2 linked regions of the Schizosaccharomyces pombe genome follow. The gene in region 1 interacts genetically with each later gene. Each region holds a gene or a part of one and is shown on either strand. Other genes may lie near its edges.

Region 1 (10,552 bases):
CCATGTCTTCAAAGAAACGAGTAGTTAATGCCTGTGAAAAGGCAACTTTTTCATTTTTTGGCAAACCACGAATGCGAGTATGGAGGATCCACAAATGTAATTGCGTTATTTGAAACCAAGACTGAAATGTCATAGGAATTTCACACTTCTGGTACCAAAATTCAAAAGCACCTAGCGAGTTTTTTTCGGGGGTAGCTTGTCGAGCAGCCTCAAAATACATGTATCTTGCAGTACCAGTAGCCTCATAATATAAATTTTGTTTAGGAGAGATATATTTTTGATAAATAAGACTTATTTTCTTTAGAAAACTATTTGGCGGAGCCACTTTACGTGGATCTTGAGGAGGTGTAAGGGGTTTGTATCTGAGTTCTTCTACTGGGTCTCTTCTCTTCGTTTCCGAAGGTGAATGATTAATAACATTTATTGGAGAAAATGAAAATCTTCTTCTTAAGGGACCGTATATACTCTTCCCCCATACCGGCTGCTTAACAAATGCTGGTCTCAATGGCAAATTTAAACAGCAGCGACTCATTACTGAATGACGATAAGGATCTTTTGATAATCTTTTCTTAATTAATAAAATTAATTATTACCTGCAAATAAATACGTAGGAGTTGGGTTGAAATAAAAAACGGATCGATTAATGTCGTACAATATAAAGGGGAAGAGAGGTTGTGACAGGTTGATTGCCAAATACAATGTTATAACGAACGATCAATATTACGAGGCCATCATTCTTCCTAATTAAGTATACTCTAAAATTTACTGGACCATTTTAAATTTGTTTGCAGTTTCAGTAGTATATCTTCGCCGTTTAATCGTACCAAAGATTGTATCTATTTATTTTGCTTTCTCAATTAGAAAACCTAAATTAATAACCTCTTAGTTGAAAATGATTATAAATATTACCATGAACTAAACGTAATAAACTTGTAAATTGCTTCAACACTCATTCGTTGACAAAAGTTCTAAATTCTCATGTCTGCCATTAGCGAATCATTTTAGCATCAAAAATTCAATTTATAGATTTTATGGTCAACGGTATCAAGGCGCTCACTTAACCAATTGTTATCATCTAGCAATGCAGCTTTGTCTCCCCCCACAGGTATTTGTTTAATAATTTTGTCGTAAGTAGCTTGCTTTTTACGGCAGTCCTTCAAGAGAAAATCATTCAACAAATCAATATATATCCTCGTCTCATTCAATCGAACATTTACCTTGTCTAAACGTACGACAAGGCGTGCTAACAATATTAAATGACCCTGAACAACTCGAGCTCTCACATCAAACATTGATTTTCCATTATCTGCTAACTCATCTTCGAAAAGAATTATCTCATTGAACCATAAATTTTGTCCTGCGTTAAGTATTTTTTGAACAGGTATTACCTGATCAATTTCAATGAATTTTGCATTTGGACGTTGTATAGTTCCCTGATAATCAGTATAATAAGTCCAATCAAATGGGTAAATCACAGGGTATTCTTCTCCGGGCTTAATTCTGGATTTGGCCCAGTCTTTTGCAAAAGAAACTTGCATTACATCTTCAGGTTTGGTACCAACCATTTTAAGAGCATCTTCAGTAAAAAATCCAACTACAGGCTGATTCTTGTATTCAATTGAGATGTAATTATTCCCAAAGGTCATCTCAGGAGGTGGAAAACCCAATGTACTTTGAAGGTTCTCCATCTCATGGCTTTTTAAAATTGACCCCCGTTGGACTTTGATAGTCCAATATTTAAATGAAAAATCATCTTGTTTTTGCATCTCCTTTAAATAATGTGATTTGAGTAGTTGCTTGACCCCTATATTATTGTAACAATTTAGAGTGCGTACGGCAAAATATAGGTAATGTAAATTTAGCCAACACAAAACACCTTTATATTACTTTACTCATTATAGAGTATATTCAAAAAACCAAAAGTTGATTAATTATTCAGATTAAAAATGAAAAATGATCTATAAGTATTAATTCAGTAGTTATATAATTTCAGTTCAACTCCCTCATTTAGTAAATCCGATAAGTAAAAATTATTCAAAAAATACATTAAGACGATTAGTATTCATAAATTCAGATATTAAGCCATAAAATTCACGTATTCTTGTAACCATAATTTCTCAGTACCCCTATCTAGAGCAAACGAGCGTGAATTCATCACCTGAAGCCATTTTTGGCAAACCTTTTTAGAGTCCGCAAACAACTGAACATGCCTTCTATCAACAGATGTAGCCAATATTCCAGCTACTAGACCGAGGTTTGAAACTGCCTCTGAAAAATTTACCATTGGGATTGAAACTACTGTCTTAGAAAGCTGAAAAGTATCCAAATATTGCCCACCTTTTTCAGCATAAAAATTCAGCTGCTTTGAGCGTAAAACGACAAAACGTCTTCGAATAGATGAATCTTCCAATCTATACAAGTATCCCTCATTATATAGATAGTTACTTCTAACGTGTCGCAAGTCCATCGTAGCTTGTTCTAAGGTAAATGGCAATTCCTGCTCTGGAACCGAAAGCTCAGGAATATACAAACAAGTCAAAGTTAGATTACCAAGTGTACGTTTCCCTATAGAGTTTATTTTTACAGGAATCGCTTCCAAGAAGCCTCTGGAAATGATGGGTATTTCTACGTTGAAAGCCTTTCCAAAACAACTGTCTTTGACATTACCCAAATTTAACGTAGCAGTACCCGAGACTTTCTTGATAACCACTGACTTCTTAGCCTTTGAATTCTCAACTGCAGCAGCCTTGTTGAGTTTTCTCTTTTTGCGTCGGTTGAAAAGCTTGTCAAAAAATTTCCTAGCTTTGGATTTCGTTTCAGCAGGCTTACCGTTTGAAACGTCTTTTGTAGCAGATACTCCTTTCGAACCGTTGGACTTGTCCTCAATAGGGATGTCAAGAAACATAAAACTCACTTTAAAGTTATCGTCAACATGAAAAGCAAAATCATGGTCCAACCTATTATTCCCATTAACAGCTTGCCAAGGAAGCTGCATATTTTGCGTAGGCGTATTAACTATTATCTTGATAGGTGAATGGACTTCACTTATCGAAATATTCAAAATGCTGTTCAAATGTATATAAAAGCGACCAAGTGGCAAGGGCGCCTTTGGTTTCTCTTCAAAAAATGTTTCATTCACAAATCCAAGAGAAGTAACAGGACGTGGTGATTGATTTTCAGTACCATTCGGGACTTCGTAAGACGTACTCTTATCCTGACTTGGAAGATCAAGGCGATTCAAATCAAAGGAATGTGCACGACTTAAAAGTTCGCTATCTCTGGCTACAGGCGTAGACTGCCTAAGTTCATCAATGCTGGCGGATATCTCGGCACTAGGGTCGTAAAAACCTACTGTACCAGTTTCCGAATAATTCCATCCTTCGACGTTATGGGACTCAGAACTGACTAAACTTTGGCTAGACTTGTTTGGCTCATTTTCACAATAATTACTATAAGTACGCTTCGTTCCTGGTACGGGTTGCATTGATGGGTGACGTAAATCTTCAGAGCTTAAAATAGCACTCAAATTGTCAATGGTAGAACTGCTTTTTATACGACCACGTTGACTAGATATACTATATCCCACGGAAGCAGAAGTTAGATTGTATCTGGGGACTTCATGATACGTTACAGATCCATGACCATAGGCGGCCTGAGATTTCGGAATTGAAGTGGCACTAATATCCTCATCCATATTTTCCTGTTGTAAAGAATCATTGATAATAGTAGAAATCTCAGGTTCTGAATTACGGGAAGATTGAAGGTATAACTCATCATAGTCTTTACCGTTGGTGGGAAGGGAAAGCTCAGAGAAATCATAAACTTTCCTAAGTGTACTAGCATAGGAAGATCCACTGGAAATCCGTTTTGCTTCCATCTTGGCCAAAACCTTTTTACGAAGACTTTCTGTAGAGATATCTGAGTCGTCTAAGGTGGCCTCTGGGACTGAAGAAAAAGGCTCTGAAGTATCTTCAACAGGGGCTTCCTGAATGGGAGCTAAAGGTTCTAAAGGTTTATAATCCATATCGAGAGACGCCGTCGTTTCGACCCTTTCCAACGCTGGATTGTCCTCTGTGGTATCTTTGGGAAGACTAGGAAGAATCCTTGGACCTACAGTAGAAGATGCAGATAGATGTGCTGGAGGTACGGGCTTGACATCAGATGGTATGCGAGCCAAGTTGGGAACGCTTCCAGCTCTTGCTCGGGCTGGGTTTGTAGACAGTTCATTATGGGATTGATATGGATGTTGAACAGTGTATTCCAACGGAGACATTGTCTTAGCTCGACTAAATTCTGCTACTTCTACCGCCCTCTTGCGAGACGATTTGGAGCGGTCAAAGGATAATTCAGCTAAATTTTGATCCGGATTAAATGTTTCATAATCTGCAACAATATCAGCACCTTTCAAAGACGCAGTAGAAGAACTTGTCGAGTTCATAGTTCCTGCCGAGTACGTCAAACTAGGAATGCGACCTTCTTCCTCGGAATTAATCCTCTTAAACACTGATGTACTACTCATTCTTTTACGATTATCAGGACTATGTTGAGAAGAAAAAGATGAATCGAGGTGCCCATAGCCATGCATATACATGCTTCTTAAATCAAGTGACTCTAAAAGATCTGTCGCAACGTTTAGTTCCGAAAGGTTTCCAAGGGACATATCGCCATCTCCATGTGTAAAGTTTTTTGTTTGATCATATCCCGAGGTTTCATTACTGTTACCCTCAAAAAAAAGGGGTGTTTTTTCTCGATTTGGAGAAGAAAGAAAACTGTTTTCTAAGCCTTTAGAGTCAAGAGACACATCTTTTGCTTCTCTATATGAGAACTCTTGCTCTTTCATCGTCAGGATAGCTTAATTAGACTTTACAGACTATAATACCTTATCGAGTGTTAAAATGTGGACACAGTATCATATAAGCACCCTGAAGTACAACAAAAGACGAGCCTTCTTCTTTATAGCAAATATTAATTCAAATTCTATTAAAATTGATGCTAAAAGCACGAAAACCTCTTATAATTTATTGAAATCCTTCTTCACCTCAGTCATGTGGAGTAGGCATAGGTCACACAAAATCGGTAGACGCTATGATAAGTGGTAGTCCCAGTGAGAACACTGATTATATGGTTAAACAATTCAAACTCTGGATATACCATAAATCGAAGATTAAAGCCAAGTTTCCTTTTTAAAATTAACAAAAAAAGGCTAGTTGCATTGCAAATATGAATTATAGCTGGGACATACTTGCAAAGATAATATTGTATTATCAGTATGCTTATGAATAGCGATGAATAAAGTCATTAGTATGTAAAATAAAATAAGTAAAATCATATTTTGTTGTCTGCTATTTTCGCAGAAACTAAAAAAAAATACATAAAATGAATCTGTTGATAAACAGCTTTTAATTTACAAATACACGAGCAGTTAAAACCTAAAACTAACTATCGGGGCGTAACATTTACTTAAAGCTAAAACCCATACTTTTGAGAAGATGCCTTTTTGTTTGATCGTTGCTGCTCAAAATAAGCTTCAAAGTTGTCTTTTTGACTGATAGCCATTTCAACAAGAGAAGACAGTTGATGACGACCAGGTGCAACACTTTTAATAGTAGGGGCGCTTGGCAATGCTTCTTGGGTCGGTTTTGGAAGTTTGTTGATATCAACGTCTATAATTCGTCCCTTCTCTTTTCGGTGGCGTCCAATTTCAATGTAATCTTCATTGATAATGTTTATGTCCTCTGCATTTGAATGTACTGAGTGATTAGCAATAGAAATGAAATCGTTCTCGGGTTGATTCCTCAATTTCGGAGGATTTGCTCTAGCTTTAGGTTTTATCAAAATTGGTTGGTAAGGTTTCTGATCGGAATCTACTAAAGAGGCTTGCTTTGACTCTGATCCTACGATATTAAATAACGAAACGTTACCAGACTTTTCTGAATACGTTGATTTCTTGACAGTTTCGGAGGATCCAGTAGAGGTTAAATCGCTTACAGAGTTATTAGGTAATAAATAGTTTTCATTTAAATCAAGGTCCGATCTTTTAGATGACTTTGGAGCTAATTCAGCTTGATTTTTTGGGGCAGGCAAAAGTTCAAGTAAATCATTAGATTTAAATCGTTCATTAGAGATAACATCAGATTCATTAAAAGTTTTATCATTAAAAGAAGATTTCTGTAAATCAACTTGCCGTTTCAGGCGTTTAGGTGACTTTTTAGTGCTGTCAACCGACAATTTTCTGCGCGCATGCTGAAACAAAGTAGGATCGAAACTTTTAGAAGCTAATGGTGTTTCTTCTTCAATATCGCTTTCGGATTCTGATCGAGGATATGAAACCAGAGACATATTTTATTAACTTTTGATATTAAGTCGTTTAATAATTCTGAGCGAGCGATTTGTACTCGGTAACTATTCTCACTGCGAACAGAATTATTTATGGCAATTAATATACTCGCATCTGCAAGATGATTTACATATTTATTCAAACTTAAATTAATTCTTTAAGTAAGTCTTAAAAAGAAATAATATTTAATTGAATGCTACCGCCCAACGTTGCTAGCTAGCATATGTGGTATTTTATATATTAATCACCCAAAAAGATTCCAAATTACCATTAATTTAATTTACTTTTATAAGCTTCATAAATATGAGAGTTTAAAGCACTGCAATTTTCGTAAACTTAATTTTTAGGATAGGCCAAAACATGGCCAAATCTTGAAGACTGGAAAAAGTACCGACTCGAATACTTTTATCAATCAACTGTTAGTAGTCGTAACCATGGTATCATAAACCGAACATATCTCTTCAAATATATCAATTTATGACAAACCACAATACATATTTAAATAATCATTAACTTGTCCGTATCAACTTTTAAGCCTCATCAAACTGACGATTAGCAAGTTCAACTAAATGGTCCCAATTGACATGCAATGAGCACCAAGTTTCTACTCCAGCAATAATTAGAATTGCAGCTCCAATTCCAATCCATAAACCGTACAGCCCCCAATCTAGCTTGAAGCAAAGGATTATGGCAACAGGCAAACCCAATAAATAATATGCGATGAAATTTACTACCCCACCAATCCTTTGTCTTCCTTGTCCCCGAAGAAGGCCTCCAGCTACACATTGTGTATTATCGGCAATATTAATGAGTGCAACAAGGGGAATGATAGTTGCAACCAATGCGACGACATCTTTATCAGACGTAAAAATGTAAGTCCATGTGTTGCGAGTTAAAAAAAGGATTACAGCAATGATAACACCAATTGCAGCACCTAAATTGATAGAAACGTGCGTAGCTAGCTTAGCGAGTTTCGTATTTCCAGCACCAATTAAATTTCCTACTCTTGTGGCAGCTGCAGCAGCGACACCGAAAGCCAAATTATAAGAAAGGGTCGAGGTAGTAGACAAAACAGACATAGAGGCTAATTCAGTGGTACCCAACACGCCCGATGCGAAAGTAACGAGTTCAAAAGCCCAGTACTCACTGCAAATCATAATTACACCAGGAACAGCCAATCGACATAACGGGCCCCAATTTTTTAATGCTTCTCTACTAAAACCTCCCCATGCTTGTCGTCCGTTTACCTTCATAATATAGATAATTAGAACAGCACAAGCACTCCATAGCGTTAATGCTACAGCGACCGGTGCACCTAGAAAACCGAAACCAACCCAGGGACTCCACACAAAAAGGTAATTAAGAAAAATATTAATAGGTACAACAATTGCTAAAATGTATGTTACAGGATGAAATATACCTTGCACCTGAAGGAAACGTTTTAGTGCTTCAAATAATGCGTATGCCGGACTAGCCAACATCATTACTCGCATATACTTTGCCGCAAACATACAAGTAAGAGGATCCTGTCTAAGGAATAAAAGTATGCCCTCTATTTTCCACCATATCAAGAAAATAGGGAATTGTATCAACAACAATATGGCCAGAATCCTCTGTAAATGTAAACCCACCATTTCGTAATTTCCAGATCCGAAACTTTGAGTTCCAACGGTATCCAAAGCAGATACAATCCCCTGATAAATAGCAAAAGCCGTAATTGTGGCAGTCATGTTAGACAGACTTGCAGCCGCAAGCTCTGTTTTACCCAAGTGGCCCAAAGAGAAAACAGTAGTAACCACCTCACCATACTGAAGTAAAGACGTTAATACAACAGGGGTTGCGAATTTAATAAGTAATGTTAATTCTTTCCACCATGCCTTGCTATTAAAGTCTTCTTGTACTGAAAGGCCACTCGCAATAGATTCGTTTTCTTCTGTTTCCTCTAAAGCGCCATATGATACATCAGTCGCAGGTCTTTGTACCCTAGGTGTAGGCTTTCTTAAGGAAGTAGTGGGTCTTTCTTGTGGAATAGGTGAAACTTCCGAAGCTGCGGTGTCAAGAAATTGGGGTCTTGACAAACCGTAAACAAGACTCGATCTTCTTCGTTTAGGCTTATAAGATCCTAATAAAGGATCATTTTCCCCTTCCATTATGGATATGTCTGATAAAGTTAAAGGAAAAGGGGGTCAAGTTTAAAAAACTTGTGGATGCTAGTAAAGTTTGTGAGGCCAACCGGGCACAGCTTATATAGTGACATATTACACAACCAAAATTTCCCTCAGTTATAAAAACGTAGTATATTAAAACAAGTCAATACATTGAACGTTAATTTATTGAATTTAAAAGCATTCAAATATTTAGTTAATAGAGGTGGTGAATCCCATGAAAAAATCAACAATAGATTGAATTAGCGAACGGAATGATTCAAATGTACATTGTTCACCTTCGGATATACCCTGAATAGTGCAAGATTTTAGTTTTTTTTTTTTAAATAAATGCTTTAAAGTCCAACTAACAATGACCTAAATTAACCAAAATTTCCAATCTTAATATAAATAGTCTAGTCAACTAACTTTGATAATCAACAGCTTTTTTGTGTCGCAGAGACATACTATGCGAGCTGGTAACTAAGTTCCTTTTTGTATTAATTTCCTTTTCTTTCTCTAGTTTCAATTCACGATTAACTTTATGTCTACAAGGCCAAGGTAATGAAAAGAGTTTAGAATGTCTAATACATTTCGGACAAAATGCACTCGAATTTTGAATGTCTTCATTAATAAATGTCTGGCTACAGTTTGAGCATTGGTAAACCTTTCTTTTTCCATGTCTTTTTTTCCATAGATCTTCACGAAATTTTCGATAATCATCCACATTCAGTAACGGACTATGGTTCGTTATGGCCATCTCAGACAAAAGCCTTTTTTCTCGAGACCACACCCTTTTTTTGTGCCTTGGTATAAATAGTGAAAACTCCTCATCCAAATCAGAACTGGACGCATCACTCAGTTCACCACCTGAATCCCAAATATTCAAGAAGCTACGATCTTCCTCGGAAATCACGTAACGATTTGACTGCGGCAAAGAAGACAGATCGGAAACATCAGAACTACTCTTGGAAGAACAACTTGTTGAAGTAGCACTAGTATGGAAAAGCTTTTTAAAACCATTGATGCCCATTCGTTCACATGAGACACAAAGGCATTCACAATTTTCAAGGCCAAAGTAATTAGAAGAATAAAAGGTAGTAATTTCTTCACCTGGTTTTATGTCTCTTACACAGCGCAGCCAAATGCGCTTACCAGAAGTGTTAAATCGACAGTTAGCATTGCAGTCATGATTAACGAATCGTGCAGGGCCCAAAAATAGACACATCGAATCTAAGCGGCTTGAATGAAGGATGCTAAAGTCTTTTCCAATTCCTATATTCCGCTCTTCTTTAGGAGATAACTTAATAATTGTTCCACAGAGGTCTGTAATATCTTCTCCAGCATTAATTGATTCACGCGCTATTACGCAAGCTTCAGGCTTTGAGGAAGAAAAGTATTGGTTTGTTGAACAAATTTCAAATTTGCATGATGGTAGATATAATGAGAGGTAGTACTTCAGATGTCGAGTAAATGCTAGTAAAGAAGTGCTTGACAATCTCCGCAACAATGGATCAAGTTCACGAAATTGCAGAATATTTTTTGCCGCTTGGTCAAGGTCTGTTTGCTCTATAATATATTTGGTTATAATATTTATAATAGAACAGCTTTCCATTCGCTCAATTGATCGATCCACTAATTTTCGTACTTTATGAATTTGGGACCAATAAAACACCTTGTCAACTAGCAAACAAGTACAAACATCGTCAAAAAGAGAAAACGTTTCAAGATGAGTATTCGTCTGGCGCATTATGCATTTTCATAGGCGTTAGGCAGGTATCAAAATGTCATGAAACATTCAATGTTAAAAGTACCTTTCCAGTTGAACAACGATGAGTAATCTTGATGTATAAATTATAGGTTTATATGAGTTTGCTCAGAAAATAAAGGTTAGGAACTCGATAGTTTATCCAAATATGTAATATATTTCTGCGTTGGCAAATACAAAAATGTTTTTGAACACAACAATTCAACACAATCACTTATTAGGAAATCGACTAATTAGCGAAATTTAATTATTCTCGTTTTAAATAAAAGAATCCACGAAAGTCTGAACGTTGTAATTAAATAT
Region 2 (12,799 bases), 390 kb from region 1:
GGTTTTAAAAAGTGTCTATACAAGCAGTTAAAGATTACAGAATGCTTCAAAGTGCCCCACCTCGTTGTTATTCTATTTAATAACCGTTTTGACAAATATAAAAAACTTATATGCAACGTGACTTTGGCAAAGTGTGCGTTTATTCTAGGATCCCTCATAGGTAAATGTAAAAAACATGTTCTTCTTCTACGATAAATATAGTAATAGTCATTTCTTTCATTTTGAGATTTGAAAACCGAGGCAAAAAAAGGGTATTTTGGGTATTCAAGCTTATTTGGAAGAACGCTCACCACTCACGTTTTTTTGAATTCTTCATACAATGAGCGGCCATACTGATGCCGATGAAATTCATGAGATTTTACGAAATAGTACGACTGGTTTAGTCCATTTAAAGGATTATCAAAGAGTAAAACAAAACATCGTTGAAAAACGAGAGAAACATGCGCTATCAACCACAAGTACTAAAATGTAAGTGAAAAGAACGAGAAAAGCCCGATAGTATTCTAAATATGACTGACAATTCAATTTTAGAAAAAAGAGAAAAGATGCTTTAAGCAAAAAGGTCAAACAGGGCATTAAAGTTAACAAAGGAAAACTTTCTTTTGGTGAAGATGAAGAACTGGAGAATGATGATCTACCTTTAAAAAAAGTTGAGAAAAAAATGTTTATGGGAAAGGATCCATCTGCGGATACCTCCTTTTTGCCAGATGCAGAGCGAGAAATACGTGAAAACGCGAAGCGAGCCGAATATCGCAAACAATGGCTAAAAGAGCAGGAGCAAATTCGGGAAAAAGAGATTTTGATACCATTTATCTATTACGATGGAACAAGTACCACTTATCATGTAAGGACTAGATTGAAAGATTCGGTTGGACACTTTCTTGCTGATATGAAACAGCAAATCCCATTTTTGAAGAGGATTCTGGATATGGATAAATTTTTACTGGTTCAATCTGATTTAATCATTCCCCATCACCATGAGCTTTACTACTTTTACATTAATAAAGTTCAAGGACGTGATGGACTTTTATTTGACTTTGATAAGCTGTCATGCTCTAGTCCAGAAATGGTTGCAACTACACAACTTCCTTCTCAATGCATTCCTCATCTAGTTCAAAAATCATATTATTTACAAAATCGCCATGTGTTTCCATGTGTGCATTGGGAAGTCTTTGATTCTCGAAAAGATTATTCATTGGAAAAGCATGCAACTGATCCTAACGCTGCATTATTTTACCGGCCCTCATAATGCCTTTTAAAAAGTTTTCGATTTTTTTTCTCTTGGTTCTTTATTTTTGTTTTGCATACTCATACTTCCCTCATCGACTAATTTAATAACAATTTCATTACAACTATATTGTTTTTATGTTTGTATTTTAAACAAATGAATTGCGCCAAACATATAACTTGATAAGCTATACAAAGAGAGAGACTTTGGTAAAAAAGAAACAGATATTATCCACTAAGTATTCGCAATGGGTTTTAGTATTTACACTTACTACTCTCAACATCACTCCAACCTTGACTGAAAACCTTGATTTCATTGATGTGCTATAGGATATTGTAAAATAAAGTAATTAAAAAATTAGCAATTCGCTTTTGGAATTATTAAATGTTTCCTTTATTATTGAATTCTCATATTTCTGCTTGTTTTTATTTAATGTATCGCAGCGTTGGTATGCAAATACATAGTATTTGATCATAAACATATTAACGATACGTTAATTTGCGGTGGATTATACTGTGCTATTTAGGTATACAATTTTTGGTAAAGAAAAAAGTGATCGTGACTGAATGATGAGAATAACTATTCTATTGTAAATAAGAAATGAAATTCGCTTTTCGTTCTCTTGGAAGTATAAGCATGTCGCTTTTACGAATGTTCACGAGTCTCTAATCCTTTCGGTATACTGTAAACAATCTAGTATGTAACGTTTCATCCACCATTTTCAAGTTTTAGAATTAGAAAACCAGTAATACAGGAAATATAAGATGATACTTTTTTCTAAAACAAATAAATATGAAAAATCGACCTTGATGTAAAACGAGAACCTCTTTTAAACAATGCGATTTCCCAATATCCTAGTAATTAGCCCATTTCTGTTCAAAAAAATCAAATGGAAAAAAATAAAGTACTCAATTGTATTGAATAAACTATTTCACCCTCCAAACTAGCCAACATTCAGCCCAAGCAAAAAGTAATGCTTTTTCCCATATCCATATCGCTTGTAGCTTTACATGAAAGATTGGCAATTACGCAGTTTGCAAAATGCTTTTAAGGATACGTCAAGCTGCGAAAAAATTACGTTCCTACTAAGTCCTTATGTAGTTAATACCGCAGTATAAAGATGCGTTATCCATCATTTTTTGGTTATAATTCTACAAGCGGTGAACTCAACTAAACATCAGAATTGTTCATAAGCTAATATGGAAAGGGATAAAGGCGTCGCTCCAATTGTTGTAGAAAATGTTGCATATAATGAACAGGTAAGAAATGATTGCAGAGCTAGATTTTCTTGGTACTAGTTTTTTTAAGGATTTTATAATTGAGTGCTAATGAATCCAAAGGTCGTTTCTTTTGTTCGAAACTTGACTTCTAGTTTTTTCGGGTGCGCAGCTGGTATTTTGGGTTTAACTTCATATGAAGGGCTTGCTCTGTATGTACTCGGTTACTTCTTCGTCTCCTTTCTACTCTTTGCATTGAAAATGCGTGGTAACTTAACTAAGTATTACCAGCCCGGATATAAGTTTTGGATCGCTAAAATATTAGATGGCGCACCTTCTTATGTTTTAACTTGGACATTGTTCTACAGTTTAGTATATGGTAAGAAACTTGCTCGATCGTTGCTATTTTATTTTGTTTGAATAGTCAGATCTCGCATTGAAACAATTACACGCTAACTAAGTCATTAGTTTATGAGTAATGTGTTTAATTTGATTTATGCATTTGGCAATTAATCCAAGATGAACCCTCCTTATTCTTGTTCAGCCCTTTCGTTAATAACACATATACCTCATTAAGATCTATTGTTTGAGAAAAAAGTGGATCTCTTCCTTTTGTTCGTGAACCCATCCTATAAATATTTTGTATTTCCTAATAAAACACAAATCTAACTGTTTTTTTACATTTCTTTACTTTTCCTATAGAAAATAGGATATTTGTTTAAAATATATTTGTCCTGTCAGCGATGCTAGAACATAGCACACACATTCCGTTGTATTCATGTCGTCTTCCTTAAATTTGATTTCGAAAACTTTGCATGAGATATGTTCTACTTCTTTAAGAAATTGTCTCTAGTGCTTAAAAACTAGCTGCTTCAGGGCACATGGATGCCTAGGCATTTATTTTTTGAACACGTGTTTTACCATTATTATACAGTTGAAGTAAACACTGCATATATTCAATATTTGCAACAACTTTGACAACGGTTGAAAAGGACAAAATATCATATTCAAACACGATCTTTGAAAATTTTGAGACTAATGAATTGTATTGTATTATCTAAACTTACTAAAAAATGAAAACCAAATTCAAAGATGCGACAATTTTACATTTATTTTCAAAATTGTAGAGATATTTTTAATCTACCACAGTAGATTTCCCCTATTTACCATATAAATAACTCATAAACAAGCTAACCTCACAAAGACAATAATAATAATATAATAACCAAAGAAAGAAAAAAAAAATCACCAACAATCATAAAGTTGAGCTGATAAAAAAGGGACTGACTATTAAATAGAGGAGATTATAGTAAGAAATTGAAATGTCCCTAATAATCAAAGAATAAAGTATTTTTTAACATAAAAAAAGTCTGAAAAGAAAACTAAGTTACACCGTCAACGATTAAGAGATTAGCTCATTAACAAGCCACCACATTATTCATTTTTTGGTATCGTTTAACAGATCACCAATATCCAAGGCGACTTTGTAAACAAACGTGGGAAAGACAATATAAGTTTTTAATGCTTTGCAGGTGGAGCAGGTGACTCTTCTGAAGCCACCAAATTATGGACATGTGTTGGAGAATGAATAACTTTACCATTTTCCATATGGCACATCGAAATATCATTAATCCAATTGTCTGCAAAGACCCTGTGAATGTCGTAACGCTTAACAGGATCCAACTCCAACATATGAGCTATAACAGCACGAGTTTCTCTTGGTAGTAGGCGCAAAAGTCTCCAGGGTCCATACAACTCTTGTTTATGAGTTGAAGAGTTATCAGTTTTAGAGTTTGGACTATGTGATTCATCGGTTTTTCTAATAGGTTCGCATCCTTGCTCGACTAAGCGCTGTTTTTTTATGTCAGCAAGTATATCACTGGGAGACTCAGCATCATTTGAAGGCTGTTTCATACAAAACAAACGGAAAGAATTGTCTGAAAGCTTGGGATATTTCCAAGGAAAGCGGCGAAGAGCCATACAACAGAAAATAATGGCGGAGGACCAGATATCCACTGCACGAGGATCATATAGTTTCCGGACCAAGGTTTCTGGTGCAAGGTATGGATCCGAACCGACAACACCAGTGGCCTCAACGATATCGGCTTCAAAGGGGTATTTGAAAACGACAGCGCTACCAAAATCAATGATTTTAACAAAGCAATTACTATCCACAACCAAATTATCGAGTTTCAAGTCTCGATGCGCCAAACCCATCGAATGTAAATAGGCAACACCTGAGAGAAGTTGTTTGAAACAACAATAAACTTCAGGCATTGTCATCTTACCACTCATTACGATGGAAAACATATCGTATGGAGCATATTCCATAACTTCATAGAATTTTTTATTTTCCTCAACAATATCAAGGGTCTCAATAATATTGGTATGGTGCAAAGCACTACCAATACAAAACTCAGCAGTAACCTTTCTGGCATATTCACGCTCGGTTTCAGTAGGCCTTCTTGCACGGAATTCTTTGACGGCGAAAATTTTACCATCAGAAGATCGCTTCATAATACGGACAGAACCGCCTGCACCAGAGCCAAGCATTCTTCCAAATTTTCCGTATTTTTTGAAAAGACCGAAATGATCATCTTGGAGGTTAGCGGAAGATTTTGACTTGGAAACAGATGGCTTTTTCTCCTTGTCTGTCTTTTGATGGGATTTGAAAAAGCGACGAAGATCTAAAGAACTATGATGTTTTTCGTGCTTGTCATGCTTATCATGCTTGTCATGATGATTAGGAACAAGAGATTTCAACGATAAACTACCAGAGTGTCCATGATGACCATGCTTTCCATGATGAAGACCCAACTTTCTGAAAATGAACTGTGAAGGGATATCATGTGGATTTGTCTTAATAGGAGCACGGCGGGTGCGTCGATAAGGATCGTTGGGATCGCCGACAAGGTCTTCTGAAGAAGGGTATGCCTGAAAAATGGGGGAGCGATGATGCTGAGTGTTAAAAGAGCCTTCATCAGATTCGCCTTCACCACCACTGCCGCTGTTTTGTGAAAGAGCAGGAGAGGTGTAACCAGTCGAACCTGAAGGTTTAGGACTAGCAGCATGTAAAGCATTTTCAGTACGAGGGGGAAGGACGGTAGAAGAATTAGCAGAGCCATGATAATCATCTTCATCCTCAGAGGTGATAGCGGAAGGGGGAATGGAAATAGGTTCGAAGTGACGTGCAGCAGATGAACGATAACGATCCTCGGCAAGTTTAGGGTCAATGTGATTCTTTATATGGACGGGGGATTGAACTCTGGGAAGAGGATGATTCATATCATCGTCCGTATCAGCGTGCTCAGAAAAGTCGACAGGATGCAAACGCTGAGGAGGGTTACGAGGAGGACTCGTTATTTTTAATTCAGTGTCAAGTTTATTTTCCAGTGAGGAACTGGAATTGTCTGATTTATGATCGCTATCCCCATTAAGGTTAAACTGTACATTGGGAGGGGTGACAGACATGTTCGTAACGGCAATCATGTGCAATTGTAAAATAAAGAAACAAAAGAAATATTCTAGTTCACTGAAGAGCAAACCACCGGTAAGATTAGAGAAAAAAGTGTTTTACAATGAACCAAACAACAAGTGGAAGGTTTGGTAAAAAGGTAAAAAACAGGGAAGAAAAAAGACAGAAAACTTCAGAATACAACAAGGAAAATACAAAAGAGAAACTTGAATGAACTCAAAGGAATGTAGTTGTTAAACTATTTAACAATACAAGTTTTCAAGTACGACACAAAACAATTGCGTAAGAAAGTACGATTCAAAGAGGCAATCTCAAGACGGAGTGAATGGGAACACAAGAAATAAACAAACACGTCAAAGAGAAAGTAGAGAAAAATCAAAGATTTTTGACAGATATTAGTTTGTAACGGAGATACTGTCAGACGAGATGGGAAATTGAGGAAATGTCAAGCGAGTTTTTTTTAAAACAACGGATGACAAGGGAAGAATGAATAAATAAATATATAAATAAATAAATTCCAAGTAAGAAAAGGGTTGAAGAGAGAAAAGAAATAAGTATTTCCTAAGAAGATAACTTTTTTTTGATGGGAAATCGAGCGCTGACAACAACGAATTGGTTATTGTTTATGGAAAATTCTTTGGCGCAACGACAAAGGAATGAGAGATTTCAAGAACAAAAAAAAAAGGAAATAAGGAAGAGGGAAAAAAAACAATACTGGAATTAATTGGGAATGGGGAACCTTTTTATAGGTATATCAGTAGATATTTTCCAAAGGGAGAAATTCAAGGTAAAGTGAGCCGACGAGACGATCCGATCGATCACGACACACAAAGAGGAAAAAAAAGAGGCTTTAAGAAAAGCACACAAAGGAAATAAAAAAAAAGAGAAGATAAAGAAAAAGTGTGAAAACCTTGGGTTCAAATAAAGTATGAAAAATGAGAAATGAATTGAGATTACGAAACAGGAAATTCTATGTATTCATAGAAAATAGAACGTACGTAAAAACAAAACAAAACAAAAAAAACAACAACAAAGAACAAATCAACCCAAAAAGGGAATTCGAAAGAATGTTGATTGAAGGAAGAATACCAAGGGGGAAAGAGAATCACACAATTCACTCACTCACTCACTTTCGGGATACCGATCACACCAAATAACGAAACGGAAGAAGCCGGAAAGAAGGGAGTGGAATAGGAAGGGTGAAGGGACGAATGGCAAATTGAGTAGAAAGAATTCGACTCAATGAGGATGGATGGATGGATGGAAAATTAAGGGAATTGGAAAAAAGCGTAAATGAATAGAAAAGTTGGAAATTGATTTGTTGTTTTTCAGAAGAAATCACAACAATAACAACAATGTTTTGATGGGAAATAAGATCTTTATGCTTTATTCAATCTTTATTTTTTCGTTTACTTTCTCAAAATTCTTTCAATTCCTGTTTTACCCAGAAAAGAAATCAAAGGCAGATAGACCAAAGGGAATCAAAGCAATGCAATGGACAAAAAAAACTTTCGTTTTTCGTATCGTATCGTATGGTTTGATTTGCTTTTGCTTTTGCTTTGTTGAGTCAAAGTTGTTGGACTATGACTGACGGGGGAGTGAAGTAGAGCTTTTTAGTATAATTCAAATCTTACAATGAATTTTTTTATTTGCTAGTTTAAAAAAAAAAAAAAAAGACGACGAGAAACAGGTTCAATTCCTTGATAAAAAGGAATCAATCAATGTGGCTCTCAACAATACTATGAAAAAAAGTGGATGGGAAAAGGCAAAAAGTATTGCGGTGCACGGCAGGTGTATATAATATATGTATACGAAACACGCAGTCTACTACAGCATCTCCCATGTAATCTCGAATGGCCGCTCTACATCAACTGCCGAGTCGCATTGGATGGAGGAGCTAGCAAATCCACACGATCTCCGGGAATCCCACCCATGCAAGTGCCGAAGTATGATGTCACTTTTAGTTCGGCTACAACGTGTTACCTCCGGCGAGCGACTCCACAATCCGTTGCACCGCGCTAAACGCTGAGAGGAAGAACGAAAGGCTAAACGCTAGCAAGCAGGGGGGATGACGTGGGGGAGGGCGAAAGGGAGTTGAGTGAGCGAGACAGGCGGTGTGTGGGGCGAGAGAGGGGAGTAGAGGGGAATAGCGAAGAGGAACGCGACCTCGTTGGGGAGAAGGAGAGCGAAAGAAGGTAGATGGGGGGCGATTGAGAGTCGAAGGAGGAATTGAGATGGGATGAAAGGGAGAGGTTAAAGATGAATAACGTATAAAAAAAGAGATTGTTATAAGAGATAGAGAGATGGAGAGAGCTAAAGAAAAAATTAAAGAGGTGGAAGAGTAGCTAGAGCTAAAGTGTTGAAATTAGCTAAAGTATGAAATTCACTAGAGTGTGGGAAATGTAGATAAGTAAATGATGATTGACATGTTTCATTCAATACTTTGTATCATCATTTGTCAGGAAATTAATTCCGTTGATGTTATCATTTCATCCATCTGCCATGGTCATTGCTTCGTGCGACCGCCAGTCGCTTCCTTTTCCATTGAATTTGGATCCGACCGTTTGGTGGAAATTTGGCAGAGGATCAATCGGAAGGAATGATCGGGTTTATTAAAGTTGAAGGAAAGAAGGGAAAAAAAGTTAAACACAAAATAAAGTAAGGAGGAGGAGGAGGAGGAGGATGAAAAAAAGAAAAGAAAATTTCAGCAACCCAAATCTAAACAAGGGGAGGGGGAAAAAAAGAGCGGCAGTAAGCAAGAGGAATGGGAATTTAATTAAAGAGGAATAGTGATTTGATTAAAGAGGAATAGTGATTTGATTAAAGAGGAATAATAATTTGATTATAAGAAGAATAATAATTTGGTTCAATTCAATTCAGTTTGATTCAACTCTTGTTGCTTCTCACTTGCCTTTCTCTCTCCTGTTTATTGCACACACTATTCCTCGTTTGTCATCTCGCCCATCCAGCATCCTGACAATGACACTAGTACGAGGGAAAGACATTGGAGCATTTCTAGAGCAAAAGCAAAAGCAAATGCAATTACAATTACAATTACAATTTTATTTTATTTTTATTTTTATTATTATTTTATTTTATTTTATTTCGTTTAATTTAATTTAATTTAATTTAATTTAATTCGATTTTATTTATTTTCTTTTAATTTTTCCTTTGTTTCCTTTTCTTTCACGGCCGCCCTACAAAATTTTCTTCTTCCTCATCCAAACAGTCAGACGGCCGAACACAAAACAAGAGCAAATGCTAGATGCTCATGAAAAAGTAAAACTAAACTCGATTGACTTTTGAGACTATATGCACATCAGCCTTTCCTTTTGTTTGTTTTTTTGTTTTTTTTATTCTTTTGTTTTGTTTTTCTTCTCTTTACTTTTCTTACCAGCCCTAAAATTCTGTGGGTTTGTGATATCACTATATTTCGTTATACCACTCTTTTAATGACATCTGTATATCTCGTTATCTTCATCTTTTCAGTGACTTCGCTGTACCTCTTTATATCCCTTTGCTACTTGTTTAGTTAGTTGGTCTAGTTTTTTGTAGCATTCGTTATTAGTAAGATCCTTTTGTGGCTTTGTTTGTACTTTGCTTTGAATCGAACGGTTTTTCCTTTTATTTTTTATTTTTTATTTTTTATTCGCTGGCTATATTGCTTCAAACCATTTCTTACATTCGAATGGTTTTTTTGTTTTTTAAGCATAAAAACATATAACATTCACTCTTTGACTAGAATTCAAAACAATTGCCAACATCTTTTTGATTTTTCTTCTTTTTCTTTTCCAATCCATCAATGTTTCTATCAATGTCTTACAATTCTCTCTCTATCCATCTTTCATCTCATCTTTTTCTTCCTCTTATTACAGACAGACACCTTCTTCGCTCACTCTTTCCTACTCTCTCTCTCTCTCTTCCTTTGGCCGCTCCACGTTTCATTCCATTTACCGGCCTTCCTTATTTCTCGGTAATGGTTTTTCCGATCGTCACGGTATTGCTCTTGTCTCTTTCTTTACCCACCTTGGCGCGCCCTCGGCACTTGACTTGACTTGATTGCCGACAAAGTCAAGGTGTAACATAATGGATCTGCCCCATCAAACTTTTTCCTTCCTCCAATCGTTGGCCTTAAATTTACTTTTCTTCCAATAAGCTTTTCATCTGCGTTTAAACATTTTTGCTTCGGTTGATGCATCTGACGTGCTTGGGTAACACCTTTTGCTCGTTGGAAGATTTTGCACTTGGTTTTCAATTTCCGCTATACTTTTGTTACCGGTCTTTATCATACTTGCACTATACAATATTATCGCAAATATTTAACGTCTCGTTGGTTTCGCCGAAGGACCGCCCCGCGGCTGTCTCGGTTCACTCTCCAACAGTACTCCAGACTGTGGTAACGTGTTTGTATGCAGCGTAGAAGGATTTGTTTATAAGATTTCAATCTTTTTTCTTTTTCTTTTTTTTTTCTTGGTTTTAGAATTTTTATTTTTATATATTTATTGATTAATTGATTTACTTATTGATAGATTGGTTGGTTCATTTTTTTTCTTTCATCTTTTTCCAATCTATATGTATGTGTATATAAATATTTTTTATTTTATTATTTATTTTTTATTTATTTATTTTTTTCATTTCCCTCTATTTATTCACTCCGGATCACTTCCATCCTTATGTTATTTTAAAAAAAAATTTTTTTTTTCTTGTTCTATACTTCTGTTTATTTTCATGTCCTTTTCATTTCGTTCAATTAATTTCATTCCATTTCCTTTTCTAATATTTTTTTTCCTTTGCGATCGCTACCTTTTCCATACATATCTTGTTTTTTCCTCCATAGTATCCACCTTGTAAAACAAAATTCAATTAAATTGAAAAATTAATATTTTTAACAAATTTTTGAAAAGTTCGAAACTGCTGATTTACAATTTTCATCCATTCTTTGCTTTCCATTTTCTCCATTTCTCCTCTACTTGCGACACTTGGAAATCCATGTATAACCGAGTTTAAGGTTATTTAATAAGCGAATGTGTAGTTTTATTAATACAAAGATTGTTGCGCTCTTATAATCAACTATTTGCATAAAATTCATCTCTTTTATTTTTTAATTTATCATAATCTAAATAATGAAACCCCTCAACATGTCTGAGGACTCCTCCTGATTGCGAAAAAAACACCCATTCACCAATACACCAATTTAGAACCGGTTTTCTAATGTTTTTCTATTAATAATCAAATCATCCTCATAAAGTTCTTCCTTCAAGCTCACCATTTTTTATTTTTTCAAGTATTCATTCATTCCAAATTTTGCTTTTTCAATCCATCCAAACCTGTAAAGCCGAAACCGTTCCTGTCCAAAGATCCTTCTCTTTACTTTCATCCTCTTCTTCACTTTCATCCTTCTCATACTTGTAAATTCTATTTCCATAACATACACACTTTATCTGCATGTTTATAGGGTTCGCTTGTACTGTGTTTACCGTCAAATCGTAATTTCCCGTCACATGCGTTTCTTCCACAAGATCCTTGTTTCTCCATCTACGAATACTTCCATCCGTCCCACCTGCCAAAATTTCATCCTTTTTATCAGTGTCGAAAAGAATCCTTTGGTTCGTATCGCCACGATGCCCTTCAAGAGCATATACCATGTCGCGCACATACCGTATATCCCAAACTTCAATCTTATCACTGCATCTGCTTCCAACATATAACTTTTCTCCATCCTCACACCATTGTAGATGTGTCACTCCGTTTCCTCTTTCAATCGAAAACTCTAGCTGACAAGGGCGACGTCCGCAATCATTATAAATCCCAACTCGATTTGAATACGTTCCCACTGCCAATGTTTTCGAATCCATCGGATTCAAGGAAAAGCATGACTGTATACCCTTAAGACTAAATTCCCAAAGAGGGACTTTATATCCATGGGTTACCGTTGTCATGACAGGTTCTTTACATCCCGTTCTTATATTAAAATGATGGAGACAGTTTTTATCACCCGCAATCAAATACTCCCCATCGTTGGTAAACTGTAAACAATGCGATCCTTGATATCTCTCTTGGTGATCTATCATGTGATATGAAGCCTTGTTCTTTCCTGTAGTAAAATTGATCAACTTGATAGGTTGATCCCTACTAGACACTGCAAAAAGGTTACTGGAAGGATCGTCAAGTTTCATTCTCGAATACCAACTGTAACTGTAAACTGTTTCCGGTGATTGATATTTATACGACAGATGTTTTGAAAAGTTCAATGGTCCATCAGCCTTTTTGGATAAATCGGAAAACGGCACATTCCAACAGTTAAGACATTGATCCTCTGTTAACGAAAGTATAGTCGATCCATCCGGCGACCATCTTGACGAATGAAAAAAATTCAATGGCTTTGTTGGACTTTGAGCAATCACATTTGTTCCTAAATTAATACTTCCGCATACATAGCCGAAATTTTGACTTTTCTTCTTATGCACCAAGTCATCCTTCTGATCCTCAAAGGAGTTTACACAATTATCCATTCCTTCCTCAAGTTAACCTACTTTATTAACCATGTATGGATTATGGCTCTTCACAATGTCAACTTTAATTTTTTAAATATATAATATATATATGGATTTCTTTCTATCTGGTCATAAGGGTTGAAAACGAATAGTCCTTCTTTAAAAAACGAATTGTAATCATATGTAGTAGTTGTAATCTCAGTATGCTCGAATTACTCCAAGACATTTCCACGAGTCCTAAAACAGAAAGAATGTATTCTTTGTTTCTCAATCATAAAAAAAAAAGAAAATTAAAAGTTACGACTCAGGTTACTATATAAATAAAAATAGAGACAGGTTGCGATATACTTGTCTAACTAAAAAAACAATTGAGTACAATATCGTC

Evidence for each region.
Region 2: mutations in SPOM_SPCC4B3.13 (region 1) and oca2 together harm fitness more than expected from each alone (negative genetic interaction), as found in Schizosaccharomyces pombe (one large-scale study listed by BioGRID).

What each region holds. Positions count from the first base shown.
Region 1 is NC_003421.2:1,145,376-1,155,927, forward strand, and holds SPOM_SPCC4B3.13 (MatE family transporter), read right to left. Parts: upstream 8,553-10,552; 5' UTR 8,488-8,552; coding exon 6,868-8,487; 3' UTR 6,582-6,867; downstream 1-6,581. Other genes in the region: ubiquinol cytochrome-c reductase assembly protein Cbp3, read right to left, coding at 1-532; TIP41 type 2a phosphatase regulator Tip41, read right to left, coding at 1,008-1,766; anillin-related medial ring protein Mid1, read right to left, coding at 2,078-4,840; protein Cwf20, read right to left, coding at 5,467-6,339; histone lysine H4-K20 methyltransferase Set9, read right to left, coding at 8,906-10,231.
Region 2 is NC_003421.2:754,938-767,736, forward strand, and holds oca2 (serine/threonine protein kinase Oca2), read right to left. Parts: upstream 7,688-12,799; 5' UTR 5,917-7,687; coding exon 3,964-5,916; 3' UTR 3,431-3,963; downstream 1-3,430. Other genes in the region: xap5 (splicing factor, xap-5-like protein), read left to right, coding at 320-468, 532-1,249; protein Emc6, read left to right, coding at 2,428-2,487, 2,569-2,824, 2,914-2,924; heterotrimeric G protein beta subunit Gnr1 , read right to left, coding at 11,233-12,432. UniProt on the Schizosaccharomyces pombe protein: Overexpression causes cell cycle arrest.